Linked DNA regions of Rattus norvegicus. The protein of the gene in region 1 purifies or fractionates together with the protein of each later gene. This does not show direct contact. Links are inferred from orthologs where the notes say so. Each region holds a gene or a part of one and is shown in the gene's direction. Other genes may lie near its edges.

What was found.
Region 2: the proteins of Kpna6 (region 1) and Rnmt purify together in Homo sapiens (co-immunoprecipitation; 3 studies listed by BioGRID and IntAct, counting the BioPlex papers as one, with this or other methods). This does not show direct contact. The link is inferred for Rattus norvegicus from reciprocal best matches to the Homo sapiens genes KPNA6 and RNMT.
Region 3: the proteins of Kpna6 (region 1) and Kpnb1 purify together in Homo sapiens (affinity purification with mass spectrometry; 4 studies listed by BioGRID and IntAct, with this or other methods). This does not show direct contact. The link is inferred for Rattus norvegicus from reciprocal best matches to the Homo sapiens genes KPNA6 and KPNB1.

The regions. Positions count from the first base shown.
Region 1 is NC_086023.1:147,287,945-147,292,163, reverse strand, and holds the start of Kpna6 (importin subunit alpha-7), read left to right. Parts: upstream 1-1,406; 5' UTR 1,407-1,434; coding exon 1,435-1,453; intron 1,454-2,796; coding exon 2,797-2,930; intron 2,931-4,219. UniProt on the Homo sapiens protein: Functions in nuclear protein import as an adapter protein for nuclear receptor KPNB1. Binds specifically and directly to substrates containing either a simple or bipartite NLS motif.
Region 2 is NC_086036.1:64,162,543-64,166,192, forward strand, and holds part of Rnmt (mRNA cap guanine-N7 methyltransferase), read left to right. Parts: intron 1-569; coding exon 570-711; intron 712-2,339; coding exon 2,340-2,465; intron 2,466-3,650. UniProt on the Homo sapiens protein: Catalytic subunit of the mRNA-capping methyltransferase RNMT:RAMAC complex that methylates the N7 position of the added guanosine to the 5'-cap structure of mRNAs. Binds RNA containing 5'-terminal GpppC.
Region 3 is NC_086028.1:82,657,245-82,660,894, reverse strand, and holds part of Kpnb1 (importin subunit beta-1), read left to right. Parts: intron 1-681; coding exon 682-792; intron 793-1,939; coding exon 1,940-2,041; intron 2,042-3,650.

The DNA.
Region 1 (4,219 bases):
AATTCACAGAGATTCACCTATCTCCGTCTCCTGAGTGCTAGGTGGTGAGTTTGAAGCTTGCATAAGCTACGTGTGAAATGTGTGTTTCAAATCAAGGAAACAAAATGCTTTAATGCTTTACCAGCCTAAATCAACATATGAAACAAACAATAGCAACAACAAAAATACACACGTATAAGTTAGACTTAATTAAAATGTAAGCTTCCATATTTCAAGGAACACATGAAGAGAATGAGAGTGAGGTTGGAGATAGCCCAGTAAGTGAAGTGCTTGCTGAATGGGTGTGAGAACTTGAGTTCAGATCCTAGAACACGTGTAAAGATCAGGTGGGCAGGAAGATTTCATGGCAATTACATTGAGTGTGTAGTAGGGACATTCTAACTAATAATTCTTCTGATCCACAAACATGGATGCTTTTGTTCATTAATTTTGTTTGCTCTTCAGTTGTTTTCTTCTTCAGATGTTCTAAACCATAGCTCAGTCTCTGACATTCAGTGTGTAGCCCAAGCCGGCCTTGAACTTTGGTATTGCTATTGCCTCGTTCCTAATGCTGGAGTTAGAGGGAGCATGAGCCATAAATGGCTAATATTTTAATGAACTCTGTGTGTGTGTGTGTGTGTGTGTGTGTGTGTGTGTGTGTGTGTGTAATTTTTTTAAATGGGGCTTCTCTATGTAGCCTAGGCTGTCCTGAAACTCCGAGATCCACCTGCCTCTGACTCCTATGTGTTGAAGTTGAAGGCTTGCACAATACAGGGCATGACAATTTTAGTTATTTTTATTTTTAAGACAGGACGTCACAGAGATCTGCCTGGCTATAATAGCAAATTTTTGCTAAGAACTGTGTATTTGTTCATAGTAATAAGTAGGTATACATAAAGTTTAGGCCAGTCTGGTTTTGTCTTTGGTAAGAATAGGCAAAGTATGTTTTAGAAGAACAACTCTGAGTGTTTGGCTTTGTTCGTGTGTTATTGTCGTACCCTTCACGTCTCAACATTACAGCTGACTTTGTACTCTGGAGGTTTTTTATTTGATTATTCTAATGTTGGAGATGTCGGCTCACCTATTAACTTTAGATTTGTTCTTGTTTGGACTTTGGTCTATAAAGAGAATTTACTATACAAGAAATTATGTATTGAGAAAATGAGTTCCTCAGAATCAGGTTTGACTGAAGTGGGGCGCTCTTAAGTCAGTGGGAACAAAGCATCGCCGTCTCTGAGGTGGGAGGGTCTGTAGTAACGGTTTTCTCATGTGCTTCTGCAGATGTTCGTCCTTCCATTCTTTGTTGCCTGCTTCTCCAGTGAAGTCATAAGTAGATATTGTGTGATAGTTACTTATCACCATGGTAACTAAAGGAGCAATGTGGTTCCTATTTCAGTTTAACTGTCAACTGTGCTCAAAGGAGAGGACAGCCTCTGGGACAGCACAGGCTCAATCATGAAAAACTATGTGTCAGGTACTAAAGGGCAGCATTCCACAGGGGCTTGCCTTTAGTAGTCTCTCCTCCACCTGTGTAGGGACCCATAGGAGAGGTCACTGTAGATCCGTGTGCGTGTGCGTGCGTGCGTGCGTGCGTGCGTGCGTGCGTGCGTGCGTGCGTGCGTGTGTGTGTGTGTGTGTGTGTTCACACATACTGTGCATGTGGAAGTCAAAGAACAGCTTGCAATAATTGATTCTCTCCTTCAACTGTGTGGATCCTGGTAATAGAGCGTGGTCCTGAGGCTTGGCAGCAAAACCATCGCTTACTACTGAACCGTTTTCATTTGATGGCTTGCTTTCTTGCTTACTGTTTATTTTTTGTTCTTAAATATAGTTAAAACAGTACACTGTAGCTGTCTTCAGACACACCAGAAGAGGGCACTGGATCCCATTACAGATGGTGTCAGCCATGTGGTTGCTGGGAATTGAATTCAGAACCTCTGGAAGAGCAGTCAGTGCTCTTAATAGGGGCTGAGCCATCTCTCCAGCCCCTATTTTTATTTTTAATGTGCATGTGCTTGTGTTTCTATATACCTGATGTCCCATGTGTGTGTAGAAACCTGGAGAGGCAGAAGAGGCATCAGATGCCCTGGAACTAGAACTATAGACGGTTGTAAGCCATCATGTGGGTGATGGGAACTGAACTAAACTACAGATGGTTGTAAGCCATCATGTGGGTGATGGGGACTTAGCCTGGGTCCTCCCCAAGTGCAGCCAGTGCTCTTAACCACTAATCATTTCTCCAACTTCTCTTGTTTTGTTTGTTTTTTTTGTTTTGTTTGGTTTTTTTAGGATTTATTTAGTTTTACTTTATGAGTGTACTGATGTGCCTGGTACATTCAGAGGTTAGAAAGTGGCATTGGATCCCATGCCATGGAGCTAGAGTTTACAGATAGTTGTCAGCCACCATATGGGTTCTGGGAATTGAACCTGGGTTCTTTGCAAGAGCAGCAAATGCTTTTAACCACTGAGCCATCTCCTCGGCAGCCCCTCCCCCCTCTCAAGATAATAATCTTCATGGACTTTGCTAAGTGAACTTCCAAAGCTCCTAGAGAGACTAACCAGAGACTCTTTTCTCCTTCTTCATCCCATTTCTTTTTTTTTTTTTTTTGGAGCTGGGGATCGAACCCAGGGCCTTGCGCTCGCTAGGCAAGCGCTCTACCACTGAGCTAAATCCCCAACCCCTTCATCCCATTTCTTTTCCGGCTGAGAAGGTGTTTGCCATCTTCCTACGTTTTCTCTTTATCTCTATTCTCATTTTGATCCTGTGTGGAAAGGAACTGCTGCGCTCACAACTCTTGACAATCTCTTCCCTTCTAGAGACCATGGCAAGCCCAGGGAAAGACAATTATCGAATGAAGAGCTATAAGAACAATGCCTTAAACCCTGAGGAAATGAGACGAAGAAGGGAGGAAGAGGGCATTCAGCTTCGGAAACAGAAGCGGGAGCAGCAAGTAAGTTACCTGAGTGTTCTCAGGAGGACCCATGGGGGCACTGGCCAGCTTCAGGGGTGACCCTTACCCTTCATCCTTCTGCCTGGGGCAGTGTGGCCCTCACCCTTCCTCAGCAATCTGCTTCTCTCTCTCTCTTTTTTTTTTTCCCGGAGCTGGGGACCGAACCCAGGGCCTTGCGCTCGCTAGGCAAGCGCTCTACCGCTGAGCTAAATCCCCAACCCCGGCTCTTACCCTTCCTAATGCTGTGACCCTGTAATACAGTTCCTCATGTTGTGGTGACCCCAACCATAAAAGTATTTCATTGCTACTTCGTAACTTATGAATCATACTGTAAATATCTGTATTTTCTGATGGTCTTAGGCAACCCCTACCCACAAAGGGATCTCAACCCATAGGTTGAGAAATGCCGGCATAAGGAAATATAGTTTATCTAGGTAGCAGGCTAGTCATCTAATTTGCTTCCTTGTTTGTTTTGTAAGTGGGTACACATGTGTGCAAACTGTATATGTGTGTATGTCTGTCCAGACATTGATACTACAGTCTTTCCCAGTTGCTGTCCGTCTTAACTTCCATCACTGAACCTGGAACCCACTGATTGGCTTGACTGGCCAGTGTCCTCTAGAATTCTGCCTCCTAAATGCTGGGATTATAACTGTGAACTGCTACACCTAACTTCCATATTGGGGATCTGAACTCTGGTCTTCATGCTTGCTTCACAAGCATTTTACTCATTAATCCATGTCCCCAGCCTTCCGGGTTCTGCTTCTAAAGAAATGTTGGAAACTTTGAGAAAGGAAAAACAATTTCTTAATTCTTTTCTAAAAATTAAACCAAGTGTCATTTTTATTCATATTGGGGTTGTAACTTTCTGTTCCCTATGGTTTTCCTTGCTTGGTTGTTTGAGACGCATATGTGCTTGTGCATGGCATGGCATGCAAGTGGAAGTCAGAGGACAGCCTCCGAGTGTCAGTCCTCACTGTGAACCGTGGCTGAGCCTGGGTCTCCTGGGTCTGTCTGTGCTGCATGTGCCAGCCCGTCTCCCTCCAATCTGCCCGTCGTAGCACTGGGACGATAGTATAAGTACTAGGGACTGAGACTCAGCTTCCCATGGTGGTTCAGCAGGTGCTTTAGCCACTGAGTTTTTGTTCATCCTTTAACTTAAATTTGGGGCTGGAGAGATGACTGAGCTGTTCATGGTGCTTACTGCTCTTGGAGAGGACCCAGGTTTGGGTTTTAGCACCTACAGAGTGGTTTACAGCCATGCATCACTCTAGTTCTAAGAGATGCAC
Region 2 (3,650 bases), on another chromosome or scaffold:
CCCAGGTAAAATTTGACCCTTAAATTTGATATGTAAAATAAAGAATTAAATGCTTTGGAAAAATGGCAGAGGCTGAAGGCCTTTACCTACTATGGAATTTTTATAAATGCAGATTTGTTTGAAAATTGTTTCATAATAAAAGTCATTGTTATTGAGTGTAACGTGCTAAATGCTAACCCATATATATATATATATGCCTCATGTAATCATAACAATAATTCCCTACTAATAGCTTATTTCATTTACTCCTTTCTAGGAATTCATCCATTGACTGGTTTATTAAGTTGAATAAATCAAAATTCTGAAGCACAGTAGTTTTCTTAAAACATTTAGTCGTAAATTATATAGGTGAGGGCCACAGAGAAGACCTTAAACTGGGGATTCTTCTTACGAAGAATCAGGGCGATCCCTCTTAGGGGTGGTGGTAATTGGCATTATTTCTGTGGGTCCAGCCATTGCTTTGTAGAGCACGCTTGAGCTGCGCGTGCTTGGTCTGTAGGGTAAGTCAGGCGATCTGAGACCTCTCCTTTTCCATATTGTACTCGAATCTTACATTCTGTTCCTTTCAGTTTCAGAAGCTGGAGGAAGGACACAGCTCAGCCGTGGCCGCCCACTATAACGAGCTTCAGGAAGTCGGCTTGGTGAAGCGGAGTCAAAGTCGCATTTTCTACCTAAGAAACTTTAATAATTGGATTAAAAGTATTCTTATTGGTATGATCTGTTTTTGCCCTTTAGTTGGGAGATTTAAATTTCCCTGAGGTGCATTGCTTTTCACAGAGCCCAGGGCCATGCACACTGAAAGTGCTGTGCAGCTGAGCTGTCTCCACAGCCGGCTCTCTGCTCTGGGCCTTCCCTCCCAGGGTTAATCAGAAATCGAGCTTTGAAGACCATCATTTACTCTTTCCTTTGTGGCTGGCTACACTTTGGTTTCTAAAGCTAGAGAGCCAGAGGTAGGCCCTTGGGAGAAATTATTTTACTATTCGTTTTTAGTTCATTATATGGGACATTCATAATGTTTGGTTGACATTAAGCTAAACAGGCTTCCACTTGGCAGTGTCCTTTATGGTCCTAGTTAATGTTCCTCAAGGAACTAATAAGTGAAGTGCATGTTGGATTGAACATTGAGTTTATTATGCCAAGGAAAGGACAGTGTGTGTCCGTACTGGGTCACTGTCCGTTACAGAGCTTCTCTGTCTTACATGGTTTCTTGAGGAAAATGTTTACCTTGAGGACTGATAAAGACATAGTTTTGGAAGTAATATTTTCTCTATGGACACTTACCTTTAAAATTAAAATGGAAGTGAGTAAAGAAAATAAGACTTAGAATGTAAGTATTGCTTTCTCTGTCTGGTTATATCAGATTTGTAAGTTTGGAGAAATTTTAAGATTTTTTTTTTATAATGAAGTTTTTTTTTTTTTCCTTTTTGTCTGATTTTAATTCACAAAAGTACAGGTTAGTGGGATTCTGACAAGTTGATAAATTGACTTTGATGGATGCTTCTGCATTTCACCCATCATTTTATTGTTTTGGTGAATAAGTGTTAAGATTCATGACAGGACTAAAATATGGGGCACTTATGCTTCTTAGGAACACTACTTTCATATCTATACTGAAAGGCAGAAATGTTGGGAGTGAATATTTAATAGTATCCATACAAATTATAAAGTAGCAAACAGTAATAAATTAGGGGAAATACTAAGGTTCATTATTGTATTAAGTTCTAGGACTGCTGAATACCTCATGTCAGATACTGTTAATAAGCCTTTTCAACTATTTGAATATCTGCTTGTTTATGAGGTGAAAGGTTGAGTTTTTTGACACTCTTATGAGTGTAAAGAGTAAGAATCAGCTGTAGTTACCATTCCATGGCTACTTCAGTTCAAGAGGGTCACACGTACACATCATGGGAAGTGTAGAAAATGCAACTTAGTGCTTCTCTTTCCACAGATGTTACAACTTTTCTTGTTTAATTAAGCTTAAATATCACCTGCTTAACAATTCACATTTCAAAAGTGTTTTTCAAGAGATAATCGAAGCCTTTTAAAACAACACGCATACTCTTTAGGGTTAGGAATAAAGGAGCAAGTTACTTCCTCTCTTACAGTTTGGGATACCAACCTAATGTTAACTATACATTACTGTGGTACAGTCCATATGATTTGTCAGACGAAGTAGGTTTTAAAGAAGTTGCTGGGGGCTGGGGATTTAGCTCAGCGGTAGAGCACTTGCCTAGCAAGCGCAAGGCCCTGGGTTCGGTCCCCAGCTCCGAAAAAAAGAAAAGAAAAAAAAAAAGAAGTTGCTGTAATAAAATGTGTTATAATTGATTTCTCTCTTCTAGGGGAAATTTTAGAAAAGGTACGACAAAGAAAAAACCGTGACATCACTGTTTTGGACCTGGGATGTGGAAAAGGTGGAGATTTGCTCAAGTGGAGGAAGGGGAGAATTAGCAGGCTAGTGTGCGCTGGTAAGGCAGATACAAGGGGAAGAGCTGTTTGGGGGGCCAGTGTAATGGCTTGCTAGGTAAAGCACTTGCCGTGGGGGTCTGACCACCTAAGTTCAATCCCCAGAGTCCACATGAAGGAGGAGGGGCAAGTGCTTGCTGTGCACTCTCTTTCCCTTGTTCACACACACATGCGCAGTTACGGTGACCGTGATGATAGCTGAACAACTGAACACGCAGGTCTCGAAGGTCAGAATTGTTTTTGTCAGTTAGGTGAATGGGGAATTAAAGGGACCTCCTTGCCAATATGATGCTGCTCTCTGAAGGCACCTTCTCTCTGAGACCATGGATCTGATAGGTGTTGAAAAACGAGTTAAGCCTTTTCTGATGGTTTTGTAATACAGTTAATGTTACCTTGACCTCCTCAAAAGGAAGGACATATTATTACCATTATTATTTCTATCAGGTACCATATTCTTTCTGTTTGATGGATCACAGTATGTACAACAGCATTGCCTCCAAAAGTAGTTTTGGAGCACTGTCCAAATGAGTAGTTTCCTTCATTTTTGCTGTTTGATGAGCCATGTATACTAAAACAATTATTGGAGAATTGTTCATTTTATGTGTGTGGCTGAAGCTGTTGATTCTTGAACATGTTAGAAATTGAGGCTGTGACTTTTTAAATTCATACAAATAAAGTTTAATGGGAATTCTGGCAAGTTAACTTTGAGAACTGTCTCTACATTTGCCAGGTCATTTGGTTATTTTGGTGAATAAGTGGTCGTAAATGAAAGGTGGTGTTATCCTTTTCAGATAATTGTGGCTTCATCTTGGGTGAGAAGTCATGTGCACGCTGTTCTGTAAGGGGAGTTAGGTGTGGGATCTGAAGCCTGCTTATCCCCTTACTTTGACCCATTGGTCTGTCGTATATTTTCATAATGGTTTCAGCATACCTGGAAAGTACTGTTTACTGAAGTTCTCTTAGGACTGACATCAAGAAATCACATTTTCTTAATATTATATCCAGTCACAAAGGTGGTTGATACAATTTTTTTTTTCACAGAATTGTGATTTTATTTTTTTGAAAGTCAAATTTTATCTCTGGCAATGAGCACTATCCATTGTGTCCCTTAAAATGACCCTGTTCATCTTCAAAAATACATGAAGAGTTTGAGAGCCATTCTTTCAAGGTCACGTGACTCCTCTTGA
Region 3 (3,650 bases), on another chromosome or scaffold:
ATATCTTTGGGGTTATGTATATGTCTACCACCACCACCGCATACAGGGCCTCTGTAACCCTAGATGTTCCGGAACTCACTGTAGACCGGGCTAGCCTTGAACACGGAGATGTACCTGCTTCTGCCTCCTGAGTGCTGAGTAGTGCTAGGAATGATTTAGAGGCGTGCATTCAGCTCTTTTTGTTTTTTGTTTTCCCTCCTTTTTTTTTTTTCTTCCGGAGCTGGGGACCGAACCCAGGGCCTTGCGCTTGCTAGGCAAGCACTCTACCACTGAGCTAAATCCCCAACCCCGCATTCAGGTCTTAAAAGGTATTTTAACTGATATTTTGCAAGGTTTTTTTTTTTTTTTTAAGTTTTTGTTTTTTGTATCCAACTACTTCACAAATGGCTTTATTAATTTTTTTTTAGAATTATTTATTTTATGTATGTAAGTACACTGTTGCTGTCTTCAGACACACCAGAAGAGGGCATTAGATCCCATTAGAAATGGTTGTGAGCCACCATATGGTTGCTGGGATTTGAACTCAGAATCTCTGGAAGAGCAGTCAGTGCTCTTAACCACTGAGCCATCTCTCCAGGCCCCTCTAACTGTATTTTTTTCAATCTTGAATGTCTGGTCAAAAGGATGTCTAACTTGAGTTTGTACTTACTTGGTGTCTACGGTGTCTTTTTCTCCTTTCAGATCACAATTGAAGCAATGAAAAGTGACATTGATGAGGTAGCTCTCCAAGGGATAGAGTTCTGGTCCAATGTCTGTGATGAGGAAATGGATTTGGCCATTGAGGCTTCAGAGGTGAGCCTGGGGTGCGCCTCTCTGAGAAGAGCTGCTGTTGTGTCTGGACTTTACACATTTACTTTGTGGGGATCACTCTTCTGGAGGGGTTCTGTTCTGACCGTCTGACATAGTGTGTTTTCTGTTAACCAGATGCCCTCAGTAATAAGACAGCACACACTTTTGTCTGTTGCAGGTATTCATACTAATAGTTCTGCTGTGAACACAAGGGGGCAGCAGGTTGTCAGCATAGTGAAGTAGCAGCTGACTGGGGTGGGGGGGTGGGATGACGACGACGACTTGTTTTCCTGTTTGAAATCTCAGTACAGGACCAAGATGTGTTATTGACAACTTACTAGCTCTGGAGAAGGAGTCAGATAGGGGGAAAGGCTATCTTAGAACCTTGAGCAGCCTCATCTTTGTGTAAGTTTTGAGCCAAAAGATATATCATACTCGGTTGATTTTAATATACATTTCCTGTGTGTTCGGAGACTACAGAACAACTTCAGGTGCTCCTCTCTCCACCTTGGATTATGTTGCTCTAGTTATCCTAGAACGCATATATACCTCTGCCTGCCAAGTTTAAAGGCATGCACCACAATTTTGGCAGTACGCACTTTTCTTATGTGAGATCTGGAGAGGAAACTTGCCAAACATTTTACTAAACTGGGTTATCTTTCTAGCACTAGATGTCAAATTATTATTTTTTTTCAATGTATTCAGGGATGACCCTGAATTTCTGATTCTTTCTCAAATCTCCCAAGTGTGGATCCTCTCCCACTGATTCATATAGTGTTGGATTAAACCACAGGCTTTGCATATGCAAGATAAGCACTGAAGCAGCTGAGCCTCATCCTCAATCCAGGAATGTAATACACATGGATATAATGCATAGGTCTGCATGTAATATGCTATATAATACTCACTGAAGTTAACGTATAGGCAGCAGCTCCAAAATAGCACAGTGAATATTACCATTACCTTACAGACCTGTTACAGTTCTCACTGTGGGGCTGTAGCATTCATAAGAGCTTATTTACGTTGGGGATTTAGCTCAGTGGTAGAGCGCTTGCCTAGGAAGTGCAAGTCCCTGGGTTCGGTCCCCAGCTCCAAAAAAAAAGAACCAAAAAAAAAAAAAAGAGCTTATTTACTTTGTGTTTCTCCTTAGGCAGCAGAACAAGGACGGCCCCCGGAGCACACCAGCAAATTTTACGCCAAGGGAGCGCTGCAGTACCTGGTGCCCATCCTCACACAGACACTAACTAAACAGGTGAGCCTCTTGGCCGGTTGGTTCCCCGTGGAACAGCTTCCATGGAGGACATCAGCAGCCATCTGATGCTGTGAGTGACTCGAGTACCTTGCTTGAGCCAATGAGTTGTGCCTCAGTATCTTAGACATTTTGGTTATGAACAATCCTCACACTGTTCTAATCTCCTGACTGCTGTGGCATTCATACTCATGGGACATGTGTTTTGTGTAAAAGTTCCAATAAAGATAGATGGTGGGCAGTAGTGCAGCTCAGTAGTAGGAAGCTTGCCTGGCATGTACATGACCCTGTCACCCTCTGCCTCCAAGAGAAGGGAATGAGTAGAATTGTTACGCTACGCATAGGGCCCTTAAATGTCTGGTTTTGTATTTTCGGTATTTTCATGAAGTCATTGGATTTATGTAGTTTTAAGAACGGATGAAGTTGGACACAAATCATTCACATTCAAATAAAGCACTCCTAACCCATGAGAAATACTGTTAGGGGCTGGGAATTTTAGCTCAGTGATAGAGTCCTTGCCCATCATGTATGAAGTCCTATTTAAAATGAGGTATGTGGTGTGTGTATGTGATCCCAACACTCAGTCAGGAACTGGAGGTAGGAGGATTAGAAATTCAAATTTAGGGGTTGGGGATTTGGCTCAGTGGTAGAGCGCTTGCCTAGGAAGCGCAAGGCCCTGGGTTTGGTCCCCAGCCCCGGAAAAAAAGAAAAAAAGAAATTCAAATTTACTTGGCTACCTAGTGAGATCTTCTGTCAAAAGAGCCCCTGACTCTAATCCAAAGTCTTTAATGTTAGTTATTATTTATTACAATGGCTAAGTGTGGCTCAGGGGTTAAGAGTGAGTACTGGTCTTGGCAAAGACCCATTTTCCTTCCAAGTAGGTACACCTGCCAGCTCTAGGGAGACCTGTGCTTCTGGCCTGCCTCCACAGGCACATACATGCACTCGTATGTATCCACACTCATTTACATTCGTTCATATCTATAAACTAGAGTAAGGTGTTATTTTGGTCTGTTTTTTAAGACAGAATTTCTCTGAGTAGCCTTTATTTTCCTGGAACTCGTTCTGTAGACCAGATTGTCCTTGAATCACATCTCTCTGCCTCCCGAGTTCTGGGATTAATGGCACGTACCACCACTGCCTAAATTTTAAAGGTTCATTACAAAATCAAAATCAAAGCTGTCTTGAAGATCTAAGTGATGGGTGCATACTACATTCTTAGGTTTTTGTTTTAAGTTTTTCAACAGTGTTTGCCTTTGGAGCTCTGACTATCCTGGAACTTCACTCTGTAGACAAGGCTGGCCTGGCCTCTGCCTCCCAAGTCCTGGGACTATAGGGCCAGCCAGAAGGTCTCATGTGAGCCCTGAATTTTTCCTCTGCTCTCTTCACTTTATTCATCACACTGTTTCTTGGTACCATGTTTATGTACTATTACTAAGGATCTGGCGATGTCTCAGGTAACACTGCTAGGACTCTTTTTTTTTTTTTTAATTAATTTTTATTTATATGAGTAAAGTGTAGCTATCATCAGACATAGCAGAAGAGGGCACCAGATCCCATTACAGATGGTTGTGAGCCACCATGTGGTTGCCAGGATTTGAAGTCAGGACCT